Linked DNA regions of Coturnix japonica. The protein of the gene in region 1 purifies or fractionates together with the protein of each later gene. This does not show direct contact. Links are inferred from orthologs where the notes say so. Each region holds a gene or a part of one and is shown in the gene's direction. Other genes may lie near its edges.

Region 1 (3,962 bases):
TGATCAAACTTTAACTGCAGATGCGTCCTGTAACAAGGGTCAACTGTGCATCTCTGCTGGAATCATAAGGAGTAGTTAAGTGCATGCCACACATCATCCATATCTCAGTACACTTGAGTGCAAAGCTATATAGACATTATGACCTTGGCCAAAACAACACCATAACCCTCAGACAAATGGCATCAAGAAACATGCTCTTCAATGATGACAAGTGGGAAAAGTTAATCAGACTTGCTTTATACAGAGTTACTACCACAAGTACAGCATCTCTGTGCATACACACACATGAAATCACTGGAAATTAGAGGAGTTTAGTAAAGGAGGTACAAAGTATGGTGCAAATTGCACACAGGACTGTAGCAGAACCAGGAATACGACCCTTCTATGCTAATCCTCCCATCCATATGAAGCCCTGATTGAGCTCTATGCTCAGAACTGAGATGGAGCAGTTATTTCTTACGCAATTATTTGTTCAGTGGACTTTGAAAGTGCACTGGAACATGACCACTAAGTTCACCACTAACTCAGTTGGTGTTGGCCCTGCAAGTTCAACAACATGCTGCACAATAAGCAGCATTCCATTAACAACTACCAGCCAGCACAGGACATGGGAGCACAGTTAATCTATAGCAGAAGGCTATGTAAAGACTAAACCATTTGGTGCTGAAGAACCCTCACTTTCCACACCTCAGGTGCTCTCCTACCCACAGGCAATGCCAAGCTCTGGCTGCAACCATATCAAATCCACAGGGACAACAAAGCTTTAGTAAAGCTCCAAAGTGCCACAGGTGGACAAGTCGAAACCTGAGGGAACTGCGTTTATAACAGGAAAACGCAGCTTAATCCCGTTATTAAGAACCCCCAGACAGCACTGTGGTGACCCCCAGAGCTTACACAGCAGCCCACCACCCTTCATTAAACATACAAACCCCCCCGTTACCACACGGAACAATAAACCTCCAACAATCCTCCCCTACGAGCCGTACCTGTATGAACCCAGCGGCGTAGGAGCCTTAGCAGTGCTGATGATCTTCCTTACCACAGCAGCCATGGCGACAATCACCCTCACAGACCAACTCACTGTCCCTCAGCGCCCGCCTAAAAACCCTCCCCCGCCCGCCCCCCACACCTACTGCGTGTGGCTGCGCTGTGCGCATGCGCTGTAGGGGCTCGGGAGGCCTCGTGTAGCCAAGATGGCGGCGGCGGGCAGCCGTGTTCAGGAGGAGGTTGGCTGCTCTGCTGCGCTTTAGGCCCGTCGGAGCGACAGCAGGAGAGCTGTGAGCTCCGTGTCGAGCCGAGATGTCTACGGCGAGGGAGAAGAAGCGGGCCAGGAAGATGAGGAACCAGCCGGCCAGCGTCACGCTCCCGGCTGAGCCGGCGTCCTTTACAGGAGGCGGCAGCAGCAGCAGCAGGGCCTGCTCGGCTCCAGGTACGGCCTGCATCCCCCCGGCATGACTCACCCCCGGTCGCACTCACTAAGTGTGACCGCCCAGCCAGCTCCGTATCCAGACAGCGGGACATCCAGCACATCCCGCTGTTATCCTCTGTTGCGTCTGGGATGTCACGCAGGACAGTGTCTAACGATGTACTGTAACTTACTGCAGCAACATATGTGTGCCGTGCTTGCTTTATTGCTGCAAAAGAAATGCGTGTGTCTTACTGAGGATAAAAGGACAAAAATAGCTAAACTTACGGGGAAAAAAAATAAGAGGGGAAACTTTTGCTGACTAAACAACAGTAAGTTACTGTTGGCACTGTCACTGATGGCAGTCACGTGGGCTGATTTTGATCACAGAATCACATAACAGCTTGGGTTGAAAAGGACCACAATGATCATCCAGTTACAACCCCCTGTTCTGTGCAGGGTCACCAGCCACCAGACCAGGCTGCCCAGAGCTACATCCAGCCTGGCCTTGAATGCCTGCAGGGATGGGGCATCCACAGCCTCCTTGGGCAACCTGTTCAAGTGCGTCACCACCCGATGTGTGAAAAACTTCCTCCTTTATGTGACCTAAACCTCCCCTGTCACAGTTTAAAGCCATTCCCCCTTGTTCTATCACTATTCACCCTTGTAAACAGCTGTTCCCCCTCCTATTTAGATGCTTTATTGCGTGTTTATATCAGGTTTATATCAGGTTTATATCTTTCCCTTTGGGCTTCATTGATCCATTCCTGGATGACTTTGTATTTCTGTTATCTGTGTTCATTTCTAAACCTTTTAGGAGATGTTCGTTCTGAGCAGCAGTATCAACAGAAGAAATTTTTGCATCAGTCACCTGGGCCTCCCTACAGGAAAGAACAAAATAGAGGAGACTCAAGAGGCAGAGGAAGAGGAGGATGGCAAGGAGAACATCAGAATTCTTCAGAGGAAATGCCTAGATACATAACAGGTTTGTATGTATAAGAGAAGGTCAGAGTTTCCAGGGCAGCTTGCTAGAAGTTGCTTGTTGTCTGTCTTAGATTTTGCACAATAGCAAAAGTCAGAACGGATGTTTTGGTCAACATGTGTATTGTCTTTTGTTTTTCCTGATTTTCTCCAAAATACAGAAAAGTTTGTTTACTGAAATGAATTACCAGCTGTTGTTCAGTGAGTCCTTTCAGACTTCTGAGTTGAAAAATTGCACTCCTTATAACGAGGGCATGCATTTGGATCACGGTTTACCAGGAAAATGAATACTGACAGCCATCTGTTTTCAATGTAGTCAGTGGAACTGTTTATGCTCATGTTGTGAGTTAAAGAAACTTTTAACAGAACGTTTGTTTAGGAAAGCAAAGAGACAAATTAGTTTTTCAAATTATGGTGGTGCTATGATAATGAATACACTTCCATAAGCATTAAACGAAATCAACCTCTGACTCCTTGATTTGATCATCTTAAAACAGTTTGCAGTCTGATCATTGCTTCCTGCTTTTTTTTCCATGATTAAGTTTTTCCATCTGTCTGAATAATACATGAAAACATGGCTGCCATAGTAAAGAAGTACTTTGTGCAAATAGAACATGTTGCTTATACCTCAGCTCTCAGTATTTGCCTAAACATATTGGTGAGGATATTTGAAGAATAGAAATTACTTCTGTAATAGACAGTAGAGGATATTTTTGTTTTATCTCATGAAGTCAGTAGACTGGTGTACTAGGAATACTCTGCTGGAGTTCACTAACCTATGTACGTTGTCCCTTTCCTTTTATCTTTGCCATTTGCCATGTTCTGATGGAGTTCTTTTCATTCCAGTGTCTACCTTTGCTGAAGCTCGTGCTGCTGAGCTCAAAGCCATGCTGAAAGCAGTTGCGCAGAAGTCTTCCAACTCTCTAGTGTTCCAGACTCTGCCCAGGAGCATGCGAAGGCGAGCTATGAGTCACAATATTAAGCGCCTACCCAGGCGGCTGCAAGAGATTGCCAGAAAAGAGGTATACGTGTAGTTTATAGTATTTGATGAGGTGTATAGTGGATGTAACTATTGTGCGGTGCTGTACGTTTATTACAGTTCACAGCTGAGCTTGCCTGCAAAGCTTCCTTATATACAAAGGCTGACAAGCTTGGGCTGACATTTGGATGCAAAACCTACATTTTAGTAGATCTCAGTGTAATTGTCAATAATGTCTTGGATTCATCGTTGTTCTATGTCTTGAGAAGTTACTGGAGTCATGATGATAAAACCCCCTACTGCAGGACTGTTTGTTTTGGGTGGTATATCAAGGTCTCAGGTGATGTAGGACTCTTCAGTAACACCTGCCTATCTTGCAGCTCACCACTGCTTTGAGCTGTGACTTTGCACAACTGAAGCCAGCACAACTTGTTCATAACTGGCACAGTATAGCTCAGACAGGGTCAGCACAGTGGAGCAGTAGACAGGTTGCATGCAGCTTGAGACCATTCCTGGTCGTGAAGCTCATTTTGGAGTAGTGTCTTAACATTTAGTCGGGATGCTCTTATAAATTTACTTATTCCTTACTTGCTGTGG
Region 2 (3,811 bases), on another chromosome or scaffold:
TAAGGGGGACAGCCCAGCCATGACCCAGAGATTCATACCTGAGCTGAGGATAGTGGTCAAGCCCAACCAAGACCCCAGATCAACTGGCACATCTCTAGTAGATCCACACTCTCAAGGTCAAGCCATGAAGTAAGCCCAGCAGCCAGGACCAGCAATAGCTAAGCAGCTCTCCAGTCAACCCGTAGATTGAGGTCCATATGAGTAGCACCAGAAACAAGCTTAGCTATCCCTAAATGGGAGACCAGCTCACAATAGATCCCAAATTAGAGCTGAAAGCTGTAAATATGAGCTTACACAGGGCTTTGGGACCATACAAAGGTTGTGGGGCTGGGGTCCCTCAATTATTCCTCTTGCTCGTTGTGTTATGGCTTTACAAAGGGGTTTCAGTGGGGAGCCAGATGCATAGTGTCTCGCTTAGGGATGTCACTGTTATAGGTGCTGTCCCACGTGCAATGTGACGAGCACCTGAGACCTGAGCCACCCCGATGTGACGCAGAGATGGACGGAGACTTTCCTCATATCGCATGCTTCAACTTTCCGAACTGCTCCCACATTCAGCAGATGAAAGAAAATATAGCGAGGGCAGGTGGAGGGCAGGGGCTCACGTTACTGCTGCTCCAGCTTTCACCATCTCTCTCTCCTGTTTTAACCGATTCCCTGTACTTTTCATGTAGTGCTTTTATCCCCTCAGCCCTCCTTTTGTCCCTTTCCCATCCTGCTGCTCCTCAGCTTGGAATAACTGCTGTTGTCCTCCAGCAAACACACAGTGACAGGGTAATGAATGGCTTCAGATGGTAATTAGCGATGGAGCTGCTAATAACACGATTCATTTCCATTTTAAGTGCCGCAGAACGCTGCGATAAAATGGACCACGGGTGGCAGGATTTGATCCCACAGCGCAGTTTTCCTCCCTGCTGTGTGAATGGTTGTTGAAATCCTTCCTTGTTATTTTCCTAGGGGCTTTAGCATCTTTCAGAAGCAGTGTTTTGCCACAGAGGCTTTAATCTGTTTCAGCCACGCCATTGGCTCTGCCTCAGTTTCTCCTCTTGGGGTTGTCCCAACAGTGGTACCCACTCTTGCTGCATTGGGGCAGCGGGGATGGGGCTGGCCGATCCATTCATTTATTTATGGATTTTGCAAGCCCTATTCGGGGTGAAAATAATCCCAGGTCCTCCAGAGGCCGATAAGATTTGGCAGCAAGGCAATACTCGGCATCTCTTTCCACTGTGCAATGATCCGGAGGCTGGGGCGGGGGGAGCAGGGGACAACTGCTGCTGTTTGCGGGCGGCTTGGTGTCCTTGAGAGAAGGGACGAGGTTCTCTTTAAGGGGGCAGGACTTGGGGAGCATCACAAAGCCAGGAGAGAGCTTCTCCCTCTGCCCACCCAGGGATGGAAGCAGCAGCAGGGTGCTGGGATGGGAGGCTGAGCGAGGGGAGGAGGAGGAGGAGAAGGAGGGGAGGGAGGGGAGGGAGAGGGGGAGGATCTGCTAATTACACAGAACAGCTCTGGGGGCTGCTGAAGTCCAGAATGAAGCAAAGAGCGGCAGAAGCAAGCGCTGCAGAGGGAACAGAGGAGCCTGAGCACTGCCGAGAGCTGCAGCCAGCAGCGAACGGGGGCACCCAGGGGATCCTACAGCTCTGGCCTCCCCTGGGGACAGCCAGCACCAGGACGAGGAGAGGGGAAGGGGCTGGGGGTCCTGGGGACGTGACGTTGGAGCTGGAGGAAGGCAGCGGGGGCTAAGTGTGGGGTGAGGGATGGCGGCCAAGCCCATTGCCCAGTGTAGGATGGAGAACTTCCGAAAGGTCAGGACGTCAGAGGAGGACAGCCCCTTGCCCTTCCCTGACTTACCCCCAGGTGTGGTGGAGATGAAAGTGAAGGAGGGCAGCAAGATCAGGAACCTGATGAGCTTCGCCATGGCTCAGATGGAGCTGAAGGGCAGCAGGCAGATTGTCTTCAGCGGCTGCGGCAGAGCGGTCACCAAGACCATCACCTGCGTGGAGATCATGAAGAGAAAGCTGGGGGGTCTGCACCAGGTCACCAAGGTACGCTACAAAACCTTGCTGGAGGTCTGGGAGAACCAGGACCCGCTGCCTGGCACTGCAGCACAGAATCTGACCGTCCATAAGAACGTCCCTTCCATCTGCATCCTGCTCTCCCGTGACCCCCTGGACCCCAACCAGACGGGCTACCAACCCCCTGAGCCCAGAGAGGCAGGAGAAGACCCCACGAGCTCCTCGGCCAAGGGGCTGAAGCGGCCCCCACCGCCTGCCCGTGAGGAACTGCTGCCCAAGAAGCTGCAGGTAGCGGGAGCCAGCAGCCCGCAGGGCTCGGGGACAACAGACAGCCAGATGGACGGCCACTACTGACCCTATGACATGCTCACAGCAGGGTCTGGGGGGGCTACTGACCCCACGCAGAACACATCCTTGTATCCCACTGGCTCCCCATTTTATGAAGGGCGGCTGCAGTGTGTAGGTCTGTGGGAAAACCTCCCCTCTCCAAACTTTTCCTCCCTTTTGCCTGGTGCTGCGAGCACTTGTAGGGATGCGGAGCTACTCGTGCCTCCTGTCAGCCCTGCTAAATAGCCCCCTGCACAGCAGACCTCCAGGACTCCCATAGAGCTGAAGCATCCTTTGGATTCTCCCCAGATTGGGAAATGCAGCTGCATGCCTCCGCTCTGCATCGGGATGTCTCAGCCAGCTGCAAAGAGCCCATCAGAGTAACACCTTCATTGCAATTAACCCCCGAGAGGAGCTGTCAGGTTTATTAATGCTGGGCTCCGTGCCTCGTGGCTCCTGTGATTCATCCTGAATAGCACAAACAAGCAGATGGGTCCTGCTCCCTCTCACCCAGCTCCCTGCTTTGTCTCTGCTCCTTCCTCTCCTCTGTGGCATCGTTGCTATTTTGTGCTTTGCTCTGAAATACCCCAAGCTGATCCTTCCTCTCTCAGAACTGCTGCAGCCTGAGAGCCAAAGAAACAAGCCCTGGAGCACTGCTGTTCATTTCAATAGCAGCCCCTCCAGTGAACAGGAATGGAAATAACCCCTCTTCCCACATCATATATTCAAGTTTTTCCTCTCCCGGAGGTGTTTGCAGCCATGGTGAAAGCATGATGACGAAGACAACAGGGAGCATCAGGTGGATCATCTACAAGCTGATGGACAGATGCTGGGATGAAGAGGAACTTTGTAGGTTTGGCTGCGGATTATTCGCTATGGGCTGGCTCCCCAGAATAGCCCTTTGGAGTGAAACACCCGCTTTTTCTATGGGTAAAAGGAAACCAATGGAAAATAAAAGCTCTTTAGAAATAATTGAAGTATGTCTATGGGGAAATGGGGGGGGTGAGGGTGGGGGTCGTCTTTGCCACTGACCATGGCACAGATGGGTACAGTGAGGGCGAGACTGTGGCTGCTGCTGAGGCAGAACAAGGGGATCCTGGCCAAATCCTGCCTCTTGGGGATGAGGAATCAGGGCCAGCTTCTTTGCATGCCCTGGCAGTCATCTGGCCCCAGCTGACATGGCAAAGCCCCCCATGGAGCTCCATCTGCCCCACGTCAGCCCCTTGCCATCACGTGGGGACCAAAGCAATGCAGAGATGGGTTGTGGGAGGCCAACTGAACCCAAATCCACCTGGGTCCCCTGCCCAAGCAGGACAGATTCAGTTGGCTCCAGACAACGCAGCCTTGGGATGGAGTCAGCGGACATCACTGCTTTGCCAAAGGCTGGCTTGGAAAGTGCTTTGTTTGGCTGGGAGAGGGAATGGAAGGAGACCAGGGGAGCGAGAAAGAAGAGGAAGGGGGAGTAAAGGGGG
Region 3 (4,018 bases), on another chromosome or scaffold:
CAAAAAAAACACTTGAAATAATGCTTTGAGTTCTCCCATGTCCACACACTTCACAGAAAAGCCTTAAGAAGACCATTTGATTTGGGCTGTGTGTTCAGATATTTGGCAGAGAAGCAGCACTGGCTATTCCAATAGGAAACATGTTAAGGGCACAGATAGGCCAAAGCAGAATTTGCTGAAACATAGGAAACGTAGGAGGAAGGAACATCTTCCAGGGAGACCTGGATAGGCTTGAAAAATGGACCCACAAAAACCTAGTGAGGTTCAGCACAGCCAAATTCAAGGTGTTGTATTTGAGCTGGGGCAACCCCAGACATTCAGACTGGGAGAAAAACTCACTGAGAGCAGCCCTGCTGAGGAAGACTTGGAGACTTGATGGACAAAAAGTTGGATATGAGCCAGCAGTGTGCACTTGCAGCCCATAGAGCAACTGTATTCTGGGCTGCATCAACAGAGGGGTGGCAGCATGAAGAGGGAGGTGACTGTTTCACTCTGTACTGTCCTTGTGAGCCCCCACCTGGAGCACAGTGTCCAAGCCTGGGGCTCCCAGCACAGGAGTGATATGGAGCTGTTGTGATGGGTCACAAGGATGGCCACGAAGGTGCTCAGAGAGCTGGAGTACTTCCCTGGAGATAGGTTTGTTCAATCTGGGGAAGGCACCAGGGAGATCTCGTTGCAGCCTTTCTGTGTTTAAAGGGAGCTTATAAACTCTTCGGCCTCAGTGTGCCAAGGAGCAGTGCTGTGGGCAGGGACGTGCCTGGGAGCTGTGGGCATTGCTGGAGCAATTCTGCCTGGTTAAGGGTTTAGCATTCCAAATAACCCACTGAACCTCCAGGCTCAAGGAAGTGGAAGCAGAGGGCTTGTGAGGCCTCCCAATACCACCTTGATGATGTGAAGAAATCACAGCCTTGCTTGTTTTAGCAGCTGCTGTAACTGTCCCAAACAGCAACAAAAGTGGTCATTACCACCTGTATTTCACATATGTGCTGATTAGCAGCAATAAAATGGGTGGGTTTTTCAACAGTGCTACAGAGTCAAAGCATGTTTGATTTGTGGTCTCCTGGAATTGTTCATCTCTTTTGCATTTTAGGGAATATCTCTAGAGAAGCTGGGACTAATCAACCTAGGATTTTATTTCACATTTTTTAGTTAACGCAGGAAAACGATGGCCTTAACTAGGAACGGTTCCACCCCCCCTCGGGCCATACAGTAGCTGCGCTCGGTGGGAGGCGATCCGGCCGCTAAGAGGAGCAGAAGCGCATCTCCCCCTGCTGGGCAGCGCACACACCCCGAGCTCCCGACTGCTCCGCTCGCAGCACAGCCCCCCACGGACACGTTCAGGAGCGCATAAAAGCTCGCACGCTCCATCACCCAGAGCTCCGCCTGCTGGTCCAGAGCCCATCCCGCTCCTCGTAGCAGGACTACCAGCCCCAGGTTGCTCCGGGCCGCCGGGGGCGGTGCCGGCTGCGCTCACAGCCTTCGTTCCGCCCCGTGCTGCGCAGCATGGCCGGCTTCGCCGATCTGAACGTCCCGCAGGGCGCGGATAGGAAGGCCGTGCAGAGCGTGCTGGAGGCTGCGGCGAACCGTGAGTCGGGGCTGGGAGCGGGTGGATGTGTTGTTGAGGATGGGGTGGCTGTGCTGGAAGGCGGCGCTGGCTGAGGGCTGCAGCAGCGGCGTGAAGGATGGAGAAGCGGGGCTGGACGGGGCGGAAGCTCCATGCGCCGGTCCTGCCCTGCCCAGCGAGGGCACGGGGTCTGTGCTGTGCCTGAACAGCGCTGTTATTATCTCCGGTTACTCTCCAACCTCTGCAGAGAACTTGTTCCAGGGTTACTGATCTTCAGCACAGGCTTTATGGCTTTCTCTAGTCCTGTCCACCACGGCAGTCTTTCTGTTTGTATCACCCTTCAATCGTGGTCACATCTCCCCTCATAATGCATCTTCCAGTCCGCTGCTGCAAGGCGCAGCCTTCGTGTCGATGCAGAGCCGGGACCTGGCAGCCTGTGGCTTACCCCACTACCCCAGGCTCACAGCCACACCTCAGCCTGCCCTGCTGTACCCATTAGGTAACCGTGCATCTCTGTGCGTACCCCAGCACTGGCCGTGCACAGTCCCTTGTCCTTGTTACTGTCAGTCAGTGAGGATGTGTTGTAAAGGCTGGCTTGTGCTAAAAGAAAAAATTGTACTCTTAAGACACATCTTTGAGTTAACATTGAGCAAAATTCACTGTGAAAGGTAAATGTGCACATCGTTATTGATTTTGAGATATTTAAATAATGAGCATGTGACAGTTTTCTCCTTGTGTCTGTTTCCATTACTTGCTGATCAAAGCAGGCTCACAATGTGTTTTCTTTTTTAGTGGGATATTCTGCAGTTGCTCTTAATCACGTCATCGATTTTAAAGAAAAGAAACAGGTAATTTCAGTTCAGCTTCTTTGTTGGTGATGTGTTTGCTCTCGTAAATCTCTGTGCCACTCCTCTATCCTTTGTTTTTACGCACTCACCTAAATGAAGGCATTTGTATTTATATTTATAACAGAACTCTGATTTTATAAGCCTGTATTACTGCCCTGGAGTTAATTTTTACTATGGTCTGTGAATTGTCCTTAGGAAATATTTTGTTAGTATGTTAAGCTTATTTTTGGAGTTGGAACACAACTTCTGTGTACATTCTAAACATCCCTGTTGTATTTTGGATAACTTTGTTTTGTTTTCTTTTAAGGAAATAGCCAAGCCGGTGTCTCCATCAGAGCTGTTTCCATCTTTGCCTATTGTGCAGGTGTGTTTATTACGTTCCATCTATGTGTTGTTACACTGAGCTGCAATTTTTCCTTTCAGTTTATCCACTCCTCAGAGAAACACAGTGAGCCCTTCTTTCTGAAGGGCAGTTACAATATATATGTTTTATATTAGGGAAGCATAACTACAGACTTCCAGAAAATTATTATAGGCAAGAATTGGTGCAAGGCACAACTTTCTTTTTATAGTAGGCAGGGTGAAGGTTGCCACAAAGTTTGTCAGCTTTTAAAATCTTATATTATTTTTCCATCATAGGGGACATCTAAAAGACTTAAAGTCTTAACCCGGCTGACACTTGTTGTTTCTGATCCTTCCCACTGTAATCTCTTGGTAAGTACATTCAGTGTATCTGCTTGTTTGTTTGTTTGTTTTAATTTAATTTTCTCAACGAAAGAATGACACTTTGGGAGTTGTGTATTGGATTTAATGGATTTCATAGGATACTCAGTACTGATTTCTCAGACCAGATCTTTAGAATCTGAAGCATCATGACCCCTCACGCAAGTGTCTGTGAAACAGAACGTGATTGTGCTGATCGCTTATTAGTATGGGGTAGCAGTTCTGTTCCTTTATTCTTTTATTTGAATTCTGGACTTCCATGTGTACACTAGAATACCAGGAGGGAGACCAGTGTGTGTTTGTGGAGCTGTGTGCTTGAGACAAAAGGTATGTGAGTGGATGGGACAAGCCTCAAAATGACCTCAGAGAATTGCTCACAGTAGAGACCTACTATTTAATTAGATTATCGTCTTTGTTTTGGTGCTTGAAAATGGTGAGGAAATTTTCTCATTATTATTTTGGTTATAATCATTGTGTGTATGCTTGTCACCTGCCAGAAGTCAAGGTAGTAATTATTTCCTCCTTTTGTAGAGATCTACATCTGCAAATATAAGATTGTATGACATCATAGCTGTATTTCCAAAGACGGAGAAATTGTTCCATGTAAGTACTATCTGTGAGTTGTCATAGAGCTGGCACTAACCATCAGTGTCTTGGAGTGCTTTGAGTGCATGCTTTGTTTTGTTTTCCATTCTATATAGCCATGTCATGGGGCTAATTAAACAATGTAGGTTCTCTGGTCAGCAGCAGGCAGACTAAAAGATTGGGAGAAATCCTAGAAGGGTAAAGGGCCTTGATGTGATCAGTTGGTCCTAAACGTCTGCAAGTGGTCTGACTGACTTGCTTTCAAATGCTCAGCTCAACTTCTTGTCAAAATGCTTTC
Region 4 (4,162 bases), about 97 Mb from region 1:
CAAACATTCTTTTCTTCATCTCCCTCAATCCAACCCTTGTGCGCGGATTTTGCTTAGGATTTGCTTGCTTACACAACACGCTTAGGAGCAGCTGCAGAATATAATATCCTTTAATCACGAGCTGATGGAATTTCCCTCTCACTCCTCAAATCAAAAGCAGAAGCGTGTCTACAGTTGACATATACATATGCAGACGTAGATTTACACACGTGCATTAAAGCTAAATGCAGAAATCACAGAATCACAGAATGACCCGGGTTGGAAGGGACCTCAAGGATCATGTAGTTCCAACCCCCCTGCCTGGCAGGGCCACCAAACATACACCTTTACTAGATCAGGTTGCCCAGGGCCCTGTCCAACCTGGTCTTGAACACCTCCAAGGACGGGGCATCCACAACCTCCCAGTCACCAGACTTTATTTTCTAGCAGGAATTCGAGGCAGAACACAGCAAAATTAAACAAAAGCTGCTGTTCCGCTCGGGACTTGGCAGCCCCGGCCCATGGAGGGCGCGGGGTCAGCAGAACAACGAACCCTCTGTGCTGCGGCTCCAAGCGCTGAGCTGCGGCCAACGCGCCCCGCGACGGGGCCTCGCATACACGGAGCGAGGCGAGGCAGCATGGAAACGAAGGCAACAGAAAGGGCTGGAGGGTCTTAAAGCCAAAGGGAGAACGGAAAACCCCTTAAACAGCCGAACCAGTCCTGGGCATTTAAAGGTGGCGCAGAGGCGGAGCGCTGGAAGGCAGCGACGAAGGTGATTTCTCCAGGAGCCGCCGATACGGACAGAGGGAGGCAGCGTCCTTCCTGCCAAACCTCACTCAAAACGCAGCGCCCCAAAGACACGCACGCTCTACAAACTCCCTTAGAAACGCACGTTTCCCACAGACGCCCGTAGCGCAGCTCCCATCGATAACCCACCCGAGCAGCGGGTGCCGACACACCGCGCGGACACACCGTAACGCGCCGCTCCGCACCCCGAGCCGCAGTGCCACCGCCCGCCCCGCTCACCTGCAGGGCCATGGCCGGGCGGACACGCGCGGTCCGGTGTCGCTCCCGCAGCGCGATGCAGAGCGGGCAGCCGCCTCCCCTCGGGTCCCGCTGCCGTCACGGGGCGCTGAGCCGCTCGGGGCCGGGTTGGACGGGCCGTGGGCCAGCTGTGCTGGTGGGGGGCGGCCCTGCCCCTGGGGGTGGGGGGGCTCTGACGCCTCCTCCAACCCAAAGCATCCCGCAGCCCCGAGCCATCCGCATCACCGCCTCGCAGAGATGCGCTACAGCACCGTGACAGGATCCGAAGGGGCAGCAGCTCCCTCGCACCGCGGCTGCCCCCGCCCGGCGGCCCCGCAGCACGGCGGCGGATGGGGCGGAGCGGGACGGGGCGGGTTCGAGCTGCCGGCGTGGATCGGGCGGTACTGGCGGTGCCGGAGCGCTGGGCCCGGTGGTAGCGCGGCGTGGAGGCCGCGCTGAGCCGAGCGGCAGCTCCATCTCCATCTCCGTCCGTCCGGCCTGTTGTCAGGGCGCTGTGGTGGCTCCTGCCTTTAACTGCGTTGTCCTGGTCGGGAGCCGGCGGGGCCTTCCACGAGGCGTTTGGAAACCGGAGTGTTGGAATGGAGGTAAATGTTGGAATTGTTCGCGTTTCTCAGCTCCTCTGCTGGCAGCGGCGGGTCCTGCGGCTGATCGGCCTGGAAGAAGTTGGGTTTTGCTTGTTGTGCCCCGTCAGTTTGATTCCTGTGCCTACACGATTGTTTTCCTCAGTAGCCTCCATCTTGAAAAGACAGACGCGGGCTGCTTCAGCGTGTGCTCTCACATACACAACATACACAACAAAGGTGTTCTTTTAAAACCAAGGTAGTCTGTTATCAGCATGCAGGGAATTGATGTGATATAAATGGTGCCTTATAAATATCTAAAGGTTGCCACTGAAGTAATGTTTGTAATATTTCTACTTATGGAAGGAGGGGATCTAAGGAGAGCCGTGTCTGTTCCTCCTGAGTTGGCACACAAGTTCTCATCACGTTCTGTTGGCTGTGCAATGTAAAGCAGGAGATGCTGAACAGTAACCCAGGTTTGAGTATGGGGACTTAGTGAGTGGGCAGGGCTGGTAATCAGAGCATGCCTTCACTTGGACTGGATAGAGCAGAACTGGAACAGTGACCCTTTCTTTGCACCACTTTGATTTTTTCATAACCCTAAAGGCACGGCCTAGTTGATGCAGGAGTCAAAGAACCCTTCTGAATGTTCCATGGCCTGCAGAGGATTGCTTTCCTCCACAGAAATGTGCTCTGCAGCCTTCTGTCATACCTTCTAAATGCAGATAAATGTAAGACATAGATAAGTGAGAAAAAACACATGAAAATTAAAAAAACCCACAACTTTATCCCAAATGAATTCAGGAACTTGGAGATTGTTTCATGCTGCGATTCTGCAGCTTTATCACATCAGGATAGTTCTAAAATGGAGCTGTGCAGCAATGAAAACTTGTCTTTCACAACCTGAGCTTTATTATTAACATTATCTGTGGGACTTCCTGCTACTTCCATTCAGTTTCAGCTTCAGAAAGGTTTCCCATCACTGGCATTGCCTTGCTGGAAAAAAGCAAGCAACCTGTGCCCTGCTGGAGGATTATTAAGCACTGATATATATATAGCACTGAGCTGCTATAAAGGTGATTCCTGCCAGTATTGCTTTGAGCTGCTTTTTTCCCCCATTCCCAAGAGGAGCCTCTTGTAACAAAGTCCACAGCAGACAGTGCAGGATTTGAACGACTCTCTGCCTTTTTCTTCCCTCCACAGCTAGGTGGCGAAACAGAACAGAACCTGAGGACGCCTGTCATTCCACAAGGGACGGCGTCGCTTCGTAAAGCAAAGAAAACCACTGTAAAAACGTGTCTAGATAACCCCTTTGTTTTCGAATGGAAAGCCATAGATGGAGATGGTATGCATTTCATATTGCAGACCTTAGAAGAAAAGATTAAACGTATCGGACTTAAAAAGATAGAGACTCCAAGAAAGAAAAAACGTTCTACAAAAAACCAAGTGGAAAGCAAGTGTGATGGTAGCAACAGCGAACTCCCTGCTGAAAAAGAAACTGAAGGCCATCGACAAGCACTGGGATGGACTGACGTGGGCATCAGGAGGCAGCTTGCTATTGGAATTAATGAAGTTACAAAAGCGTTGGAGAAAAACGAGCTGCTTCTCTTGTTGGTGTGCAAATCTGCCAAACCTGCCATGATCACATCCCATCTCATCCAGCTGAGCGCGAGTCGAGCCACGCCAGCAGGCCAGGTTCCCCGCCTCAGTGAAACGGTAGCACCGCTTCTTGGCTTAACATCCATTTTAGCGCTCGGCTTCAAAAGGCAGTCTGATAAGTTCACTGACGTAGTAGAAGCGATAATTCCAAAGATACCTGCTTTGGAAGTGCCGTGGTTTCAGTTCCAAACAGAAGGATCTGCTGCATGTGCGGAGTTGTCAGAAATTGATGAAGCTGAGCAGCTTGCAGAGACGCCGGAGGAGGAGCTCTCAAGCCAGAAGCGGAAGCGTTCAGAAAGCAATCAGCTCCATCTCTCACATGTAATTTTGCAGCCTTTGAAAATCAAGAAAGTTGTTCCAAATCCAAATAAGATAAAGAAGCCACCTCGCAGAAAGAAAAAAGCTTTTTCAGCATGACTGATTTTAGTTCAGTTCTTCAGAGCACTGTGATTGTTTTTTACTGCCTATGGAGTACAGCTGTAACTGAACTACTTTGTTCTGCTTTAGCAGTGTAAAGCAGTTAACTCAGGTTAACTCATGTATGATGCATCCAGGTGAGGTTCTGTCTGCTTTAATAAAGAATGTGGCTCCAAGTTGTGTGTGAGCCTCTATCTGGAGATAAATATTTCATTTGCAGTTGGAGATCACAAAGTTGAGACTGTTAATGAACGTCTTGAAGTAATGTGAGGATAACAAGCGCATCTTTAGAATTAATACTAAGTGCTAAGCAAACTTTGTATGTTTTTTTTACATGTGAACATGCTTTAGACAGAACTGATTGAAATTAATGTCATTACACATAAAAAAAAAATAATACCAAAACTGAAAGTTTATTTAAACAAGGTCCATGCCAGTATAACTTTTAAAGCTGGTTCAATGCTTGTTTCAAGTAAACAGCTGTAACAGCACAGGCAGACTT
Region 5 (4,077 bases), on another chromosome or scaffold:
TCTTTTTCATGTTTATTTGATTGAGTCCCACTCCCAGCTCAGAGCCCTTTCCCTGGAACACACACTAACAAGCTGACCCAGCTCTATCAGACACTGTCTCTGAAGATAGATTGGGAAATGAAGATGTAGAGCTGTTGGAAGAGACTGGCTTCCCCAGGCACCTGTTTAGCCTGGATCATTGGATTTACTACACTGGCATCACCAACACCGATTTGACTATTAATCCCTTAAGTGCCTTAGGAACTGCAGCATAAATCCAGCCAAGGAGCACTCATACGGCCCTGAAGACCCATAGCGTTCATCCTGGCACTCCATTCATGAAAACTGATCTTTTCTTAAATAGCAATGACAACTCAAGGAGTCCCTGCTTTGTAAAAACAAGGCACCTGTTTGCTGTGGCAACATCCTACACTGCCAAGAGACCTTTCATACACGCTGTATGGGAACTGTTGAGTCCCAGCCTGAATCACTGGGCACCTGAGAAAGGACCTGCTCAGCCCTGAGAGCACAAGTGGAGGCAATTCTCTTTGTGAGTGGAAGGGTGGAGCCTGGCTGCACCTCTTACACCTCATTTAAGGGCTGACTGCCACCAGGGAAGGTTCTCTGGTTGGAGATCCCTCCTTGGTGAAGCCTGTGACCTTAATCTTCAGAGATGGGTGAGCAGACCTTTATCCTTCCTTTTTAACACCATTCTGTTGTATTAGTCCCTTTATTATTACAGCTCTTGTATCACCTTTCCATCACATTGATCTTTCTGGTTGTTACACAAACCAACCAGTGCTTGTGCTTATTAATCTGAAGGGACTGGCCTTTTTTTCTCTACAAATACACATTTATCTGCAGTTTTGTCCCTTGTTACACACTGCTTTAGTACCTCTGTGCTCCACAGCAGCACTCAACACAATGCTCACATTTCCTATGCTCTGTCATGGCAGCTCTGTCAGCCTCCTTCCCCAGGGGGCACTTAGTTACACGTGTGGCTGATACCCACCCCGTGATAGGAATACAAACACCTCTATTTTAATGTGAGCTTGGACTTGCTAAGCTGAGGAACTTGTGGTACTGTTTCCAGAGCACCTCTGTGCCAAGAGGTGTGGGAGTGCAGCAGGGCTGGAAGGGGCGAACCCCTCGGAAGAGCAGGAGATGCTGCGTGCACATGGATGTGTATCCTCGTACTAAACTGCCATGCTCAGGCCCAAAGTTCCTACTGCTGCAGGGGGCTGAGCTCGGGTTCCGTAGCCCCCACCCCGGCACACAGAGCGTTGGGAAGCGCTTGATAGAGCGGCACTGTCCTGCAGCTCCACCTGCCGCACTGGAGGGGAAGGGGGGGATGCAGCCAGGCCCGCCCCGGTCGCACACACGTCACGGCTGCGCCGGAGCATCGAGATGGAGGGTGAGTACAGGGATGGGACGGGACGGGAGGAGGATGAGGATGAGGAGGTAGATGAAGGGCCGGCTGAGCCCGCTGTCTGCCCGCAGGTGTGTTGTACAGCGGGCTGCCCCGCGAGGCGGCGAAGGAGCTATGCCTACAGGTACCGCTCCCATGTACCCCCACAGCCTCTGCCCAGCGCTGCCTCAGCTCGGCGGGCAGCCGGGCTCTAATTTAATTAAAGTCTGTTTTTAAACACCTTTAGCCCCAAGGGTCAGAGGAGGCCAGAGCGTTTGTGAGCGCCTTCCTGAAGCGCAGCATGCCCAAGAAGAAGGACGAAGCCATCCAGGATGTGCTAACGCGGAAGGCCGTGGTTCTGGAGCACCACTGCAGGAGGAGGAAGAAGCCAAAGAGAAGGAAAACAAAAACCTTCACAGCCAAACAGAGGAGGGAGCTGGGGCTGTTTGATATCGAGCCTGAGCAGCAGAGGTATGAGAGTGAGTTTGTGTGCTCTGTGGCACTAAACCACAGCACAGCTATAACCTGGGCTGCCTGTTGGATGAGCTCATCCCTGACCAGTTCTTTCCTAAGTGCTGCCACCTGTGACTTCAATTCTAATCCCCAGAATGGCTGCAACCAGTGAATCTCCATTTTGCATTATGTTCCTTGACCCAGGACATGCTGAGTAAGGCCAGTGCTGCTCCTAAAAGGAAGCAAGGGGGAGAAAGAGGAGCAGAAAGCTCTTAAACACATCCCTCCCCTTGGGTTTGTTCGGAGCATATTCAGCTTTACTTGGAGTGGTTTACTAAGTGATCTGTGCAGCTGATAACATGTGTAATTCTTAGTTTTAACTCTGCTTACTAAGACAATCTACAATATAATATATTATAATATATATAATTAAGTTATTGTAAAATATTTGCCTTCTAACTGCAGATATGAACTATTTCTACCACTACATGAACTCTGGAAGCAATACATCAGAGACCTGTGTTATGGACTTAAACCAGATGCGTAAGTTTAGCTAATCTAACCACCACCATTTTTTAAGGCATTTCAAGTAGTAATTTGATTAAACTTAAATGTCAATTATTTAATAAGGATATATGCTATTTCTGTAAGCTTTGACCAGTATTTCAATAGGCACAGTCACACCTTATAAACATGCTTTTCCATGTATTTTTTTCCCCTCTCTGATCCTACCCTTTTCTTCAAGGCAACCACAGATGGTGCAGAGCAAACTGCTGAAAGCTGACCTCCATGGAGCTGTTGTTACAGGTATTGTTTGCTTTATTCTGCAGTTATCTGAGATTTGCTGTACTTTCTTATGTTTCAGGTGCTCATTGAATTCCTTTCAGTATCAACTCTAGGATAATGTAATTGTGTTGATGGATTCTTTCTCCATTTACCAGTGCTGCTTAACTTTTCAACTGCTCTACCAGTTATCACTATAATTACTTCAGACTATTATCTCAGACTTCTAAAATGATGAGGCAATAATGGAACAGCAAACCAGCTGCACCTGAATTTATTCTAACACATTCCTATTCTTGTTCTTTCAGTCACAAAATCAAAGTGTCCATCTTATGTTGGGATAACGGGAATAATCCTACAGGAATTCAAACATGTCTTCAAGATTATTACTAAAGACAACAAACTAAAAGGTATGGCAAATGTTTTTCAGTGCTTGTTATAATGTGAGTTACTGAGAATCGATCATATTATTATACTTCTGAGTAAATGTATGAGCACATACATACATTGTTCTTTACCACTGCTTGTAATTCTTTGCATAGTGGCAGAAGTTCATGTCTTTATCTGACATGTAAAAACCCAATAATGTACCTTAGAAGTAATTTAAAAACATATTTCCAGTGATTTATAACATGATTATGCACATGGTTCATTCATCTGATTCACTGTAGATCGTTCTCTGCAACTCTTACTGCACACTTGTGAACAAGGACTGAATTCTGTCAGTTTTGCCCTTAAATGTACAGGCTGTATTGAGTGTATTTCTCACACTGCAGCATTAAACCTTGACATGTTATGAACCTGAAGCCTGCATGTGAATAGTATTCCCTGGTACACCAGTATCTATGCATAATGCTACTTCTCCATTTTTCAGTTGTTCCCAAAATTAACAACGTATTCAGTGTGGAGACTGATGGATTCATTTCCTACATCTATGGAAGCAAGTTCCAGCTTCGAGCAAGTGAGCGGTCTGCAAAGAAGTTCAAGCTGAAAGGAACTATTGACCTATGATTTCATAGCAAATCAAAAGGAAGTTTAATTAAGATGTCTGCTGTTCTCCTTCAGTTTACAAAACAGGTTTTCTGGCAGACTGAAAGACAGAGTTAACTAGCTGAGATTTTTCTGAAGTGTTTCTTCATACTGAAGAATGACTGGTTTCATCTTTAAAGCAGTCTGTCAAACTGCTGAAGTCTTAGTTGTATCTTTTACTTGTGTGTAATGTTCTGCCTTTTATTAAACTTGTGATTAGTACTGATTACCTGGTTTTTGTTTCTATTTTGACTGTATATTTGTTCAGTGAATGTTTTATCTTATAACTTGCTTACAGAGCCTGCTTCGTTCAGAAGGCAGCAATAACACCTGTCACTGTGTAAGGAGACTGCAGCTGGTAACTGCTTTTATGTGATTGCTCCTGGATCAATCATTGCTGCCTGTTCAGCTTGTATCCATGCTAG

The links.
Region 2: the proteins of POP1 (region 1) and RPP25 purify together in Homo sapiens (affinity purification with mass spectrometry; 3 studies listed by BioGRID and IntAct, counting the BioPlex papers as one, with this or other methods). This does not show direct contact. The link is inferred for Coturnix japonica from reciprocal best matches to the Homo sapiens genes POP1 and RPP25.
Region 3: the proteins of POP1 (region 1) and RPP30 purify together in Homo sapiens (affinity purification with mass spectrometry; 5 studies listed by BioGRID and IntAct, counting the BioPlex papers as one, with this or other methods). This does not show direct contact. The link is inferred for Coturnix japonica from reciprocal best matches to the Homo sapiens genes POP1 and RPP30.
Region 4: the proteins of POP1 (region 1) and RPP38 purify together in Homo sapiens (affinity purification with mass spectrometry; 3 studies listed by BioGRID and IntAct, with this or other methods). This does not show direct contact. The link is inferred for Coturnix japonica from reciprocal best matches to the Homo sapiens genes POP1 and RPP38.
Region 5: the proteins of POP1 (region 1) and POP4 purify together in Homo sapiens (affinity purification with mass spectrometry; 5 studies listed by BioGRID and IntAct, counting the BioPlex papers as one, with this or other methods). This does not show direct contact. The link is inferred for Coturnix japonica from reciprocal best matches to the Homo sapiens genes POP1 and POP4.

What each region holds. Positions count from the first base shown.
Region 1 is NC_029517.1:115,453,790-115,457,751, forward strand, and holds the start of POP1 (ribonucleases P/MRP protein subunit POP1), read left to right. Parts: upstream 1-1,162; 5' UTR 1,163-1,299; coding exon 1,300-1,429; intron 1,430-2,222; coding exon 2,223-2,390; intron 2,391-3,232; coding exon 3,233-3,408; intron 3,409-3,962. Other genes in the region: RIDA (2-iminobutanoate/2-iminopropanoate deaminase), read right to left, coding at 987-1,051. UniProt on the Homo sapiens protein: Component of ribonuclease P, a ribonucleoprotein complex that generates mature tRNA molecules by cleaving their 5'-ends. Also a component of the MRP ribonuclease complex, which cleaves pre-rRNA sequences.
Region 2 is NC_029525.1:1,715,812-1,719,622, forward strand, and holds RPP25 (ribonuclease P protein subunit p25), read left to right. Parts: upstream 1-1,479; 5' UTR 1,480-1,754; coding exon 1,755-2,366; 3' UTR 2,367-3,311; downstream 3,312-3,811. UniProt on the Homo sapiens protein: Component of ribonuclease P, a ribonucleoprotein complex that generates mature tRNA molecules by cleaving their 5'-ends. Also a component of the MRP ribonuclease complex, which cleaves pre-rRNA sequences.
Region 3 is NC_029521.1:17,047,694-17,051,711, forward strand, and holds the start of RPP30 (ribonuclease P protein subunit p30), read left to right. Parts: upstream 1-1,217; 5' UTR 1,218-1,503; coding exon 1,504-1,585; intron 1,586-2,356; coding exon 2,357-2,412; intron 2,413-2,719; coding exon 2,720-2,776; intron 2,777-3,051; coding exon 3,052-3,126; intron 3,127-3,666; coding exon 3,667-3,738; intron 3,739-4,018. UniProt on the Homo sapiens protein: Component of ribonuclease P, a ribonucleoprotein complex that generates mature tRNA molecules by cleaving their 5'-ends. Also a component of the MRP ribonuclease complex, which cleaves pre-rRNA sequences.
Region 4 is NC_029517.1:18,769,228-18,773,389, reverse strand, and holds RPP38 (ribonuclease P protein subunit p38), read left to right. Parts: upstream 1-1,352; 5' UTR 1,353-1,602; coding exon 1,603-1,608; intron 1,609-2,787; coding exon 2,788-3,660; 3' UTR 3,661-3,836; downstream 3,837-4,162. Other genes in the region: ACBD7 (acyl-CoA-binding domain-containing protein 7), read right to left, coding at 1,007-1,018. UniProt on the Homo sapiens protein: Component of ribonuclease P, a ribonucleoprotein complex that generates mature tRNA molecules by cleaving their 5'-ends. Also a component of the MRP ribonuclease complex, which cleaves pre-rRNA sequences.
Region 5 is NC_029526.1:7,094,790-7,098,866, forward strand, and holds POP4 (ribonuclease P protein subunit p29), read left to right. Parts: upstream 1-1,268; 5' UTR 1,269-1,386; coding exon 1,387-1,393; intron 1,394-1,479; coding exon 1,480-1,532; intron 1,533-1,613; exon of another isoform or gene 1,614-1,634; coding exon 1,635-1,858; intron 1,859-2,305; coding exon 2,306-2,383; intron 2,384-2,585; coding exon 2,586-2,647; intron 2,648-2,931; coding exon 2,932-3,033; intron 3,034-3,497; coding exon 3,498-3,634; 3' UTR 3,635-3,879; downstream 3,880-4,077. UniProt on the Homo sapiens protein: Component of ribonuclease P, a ribonucleoprotein complex that generates mature tRNA molecules by cleaving their 5'-ends.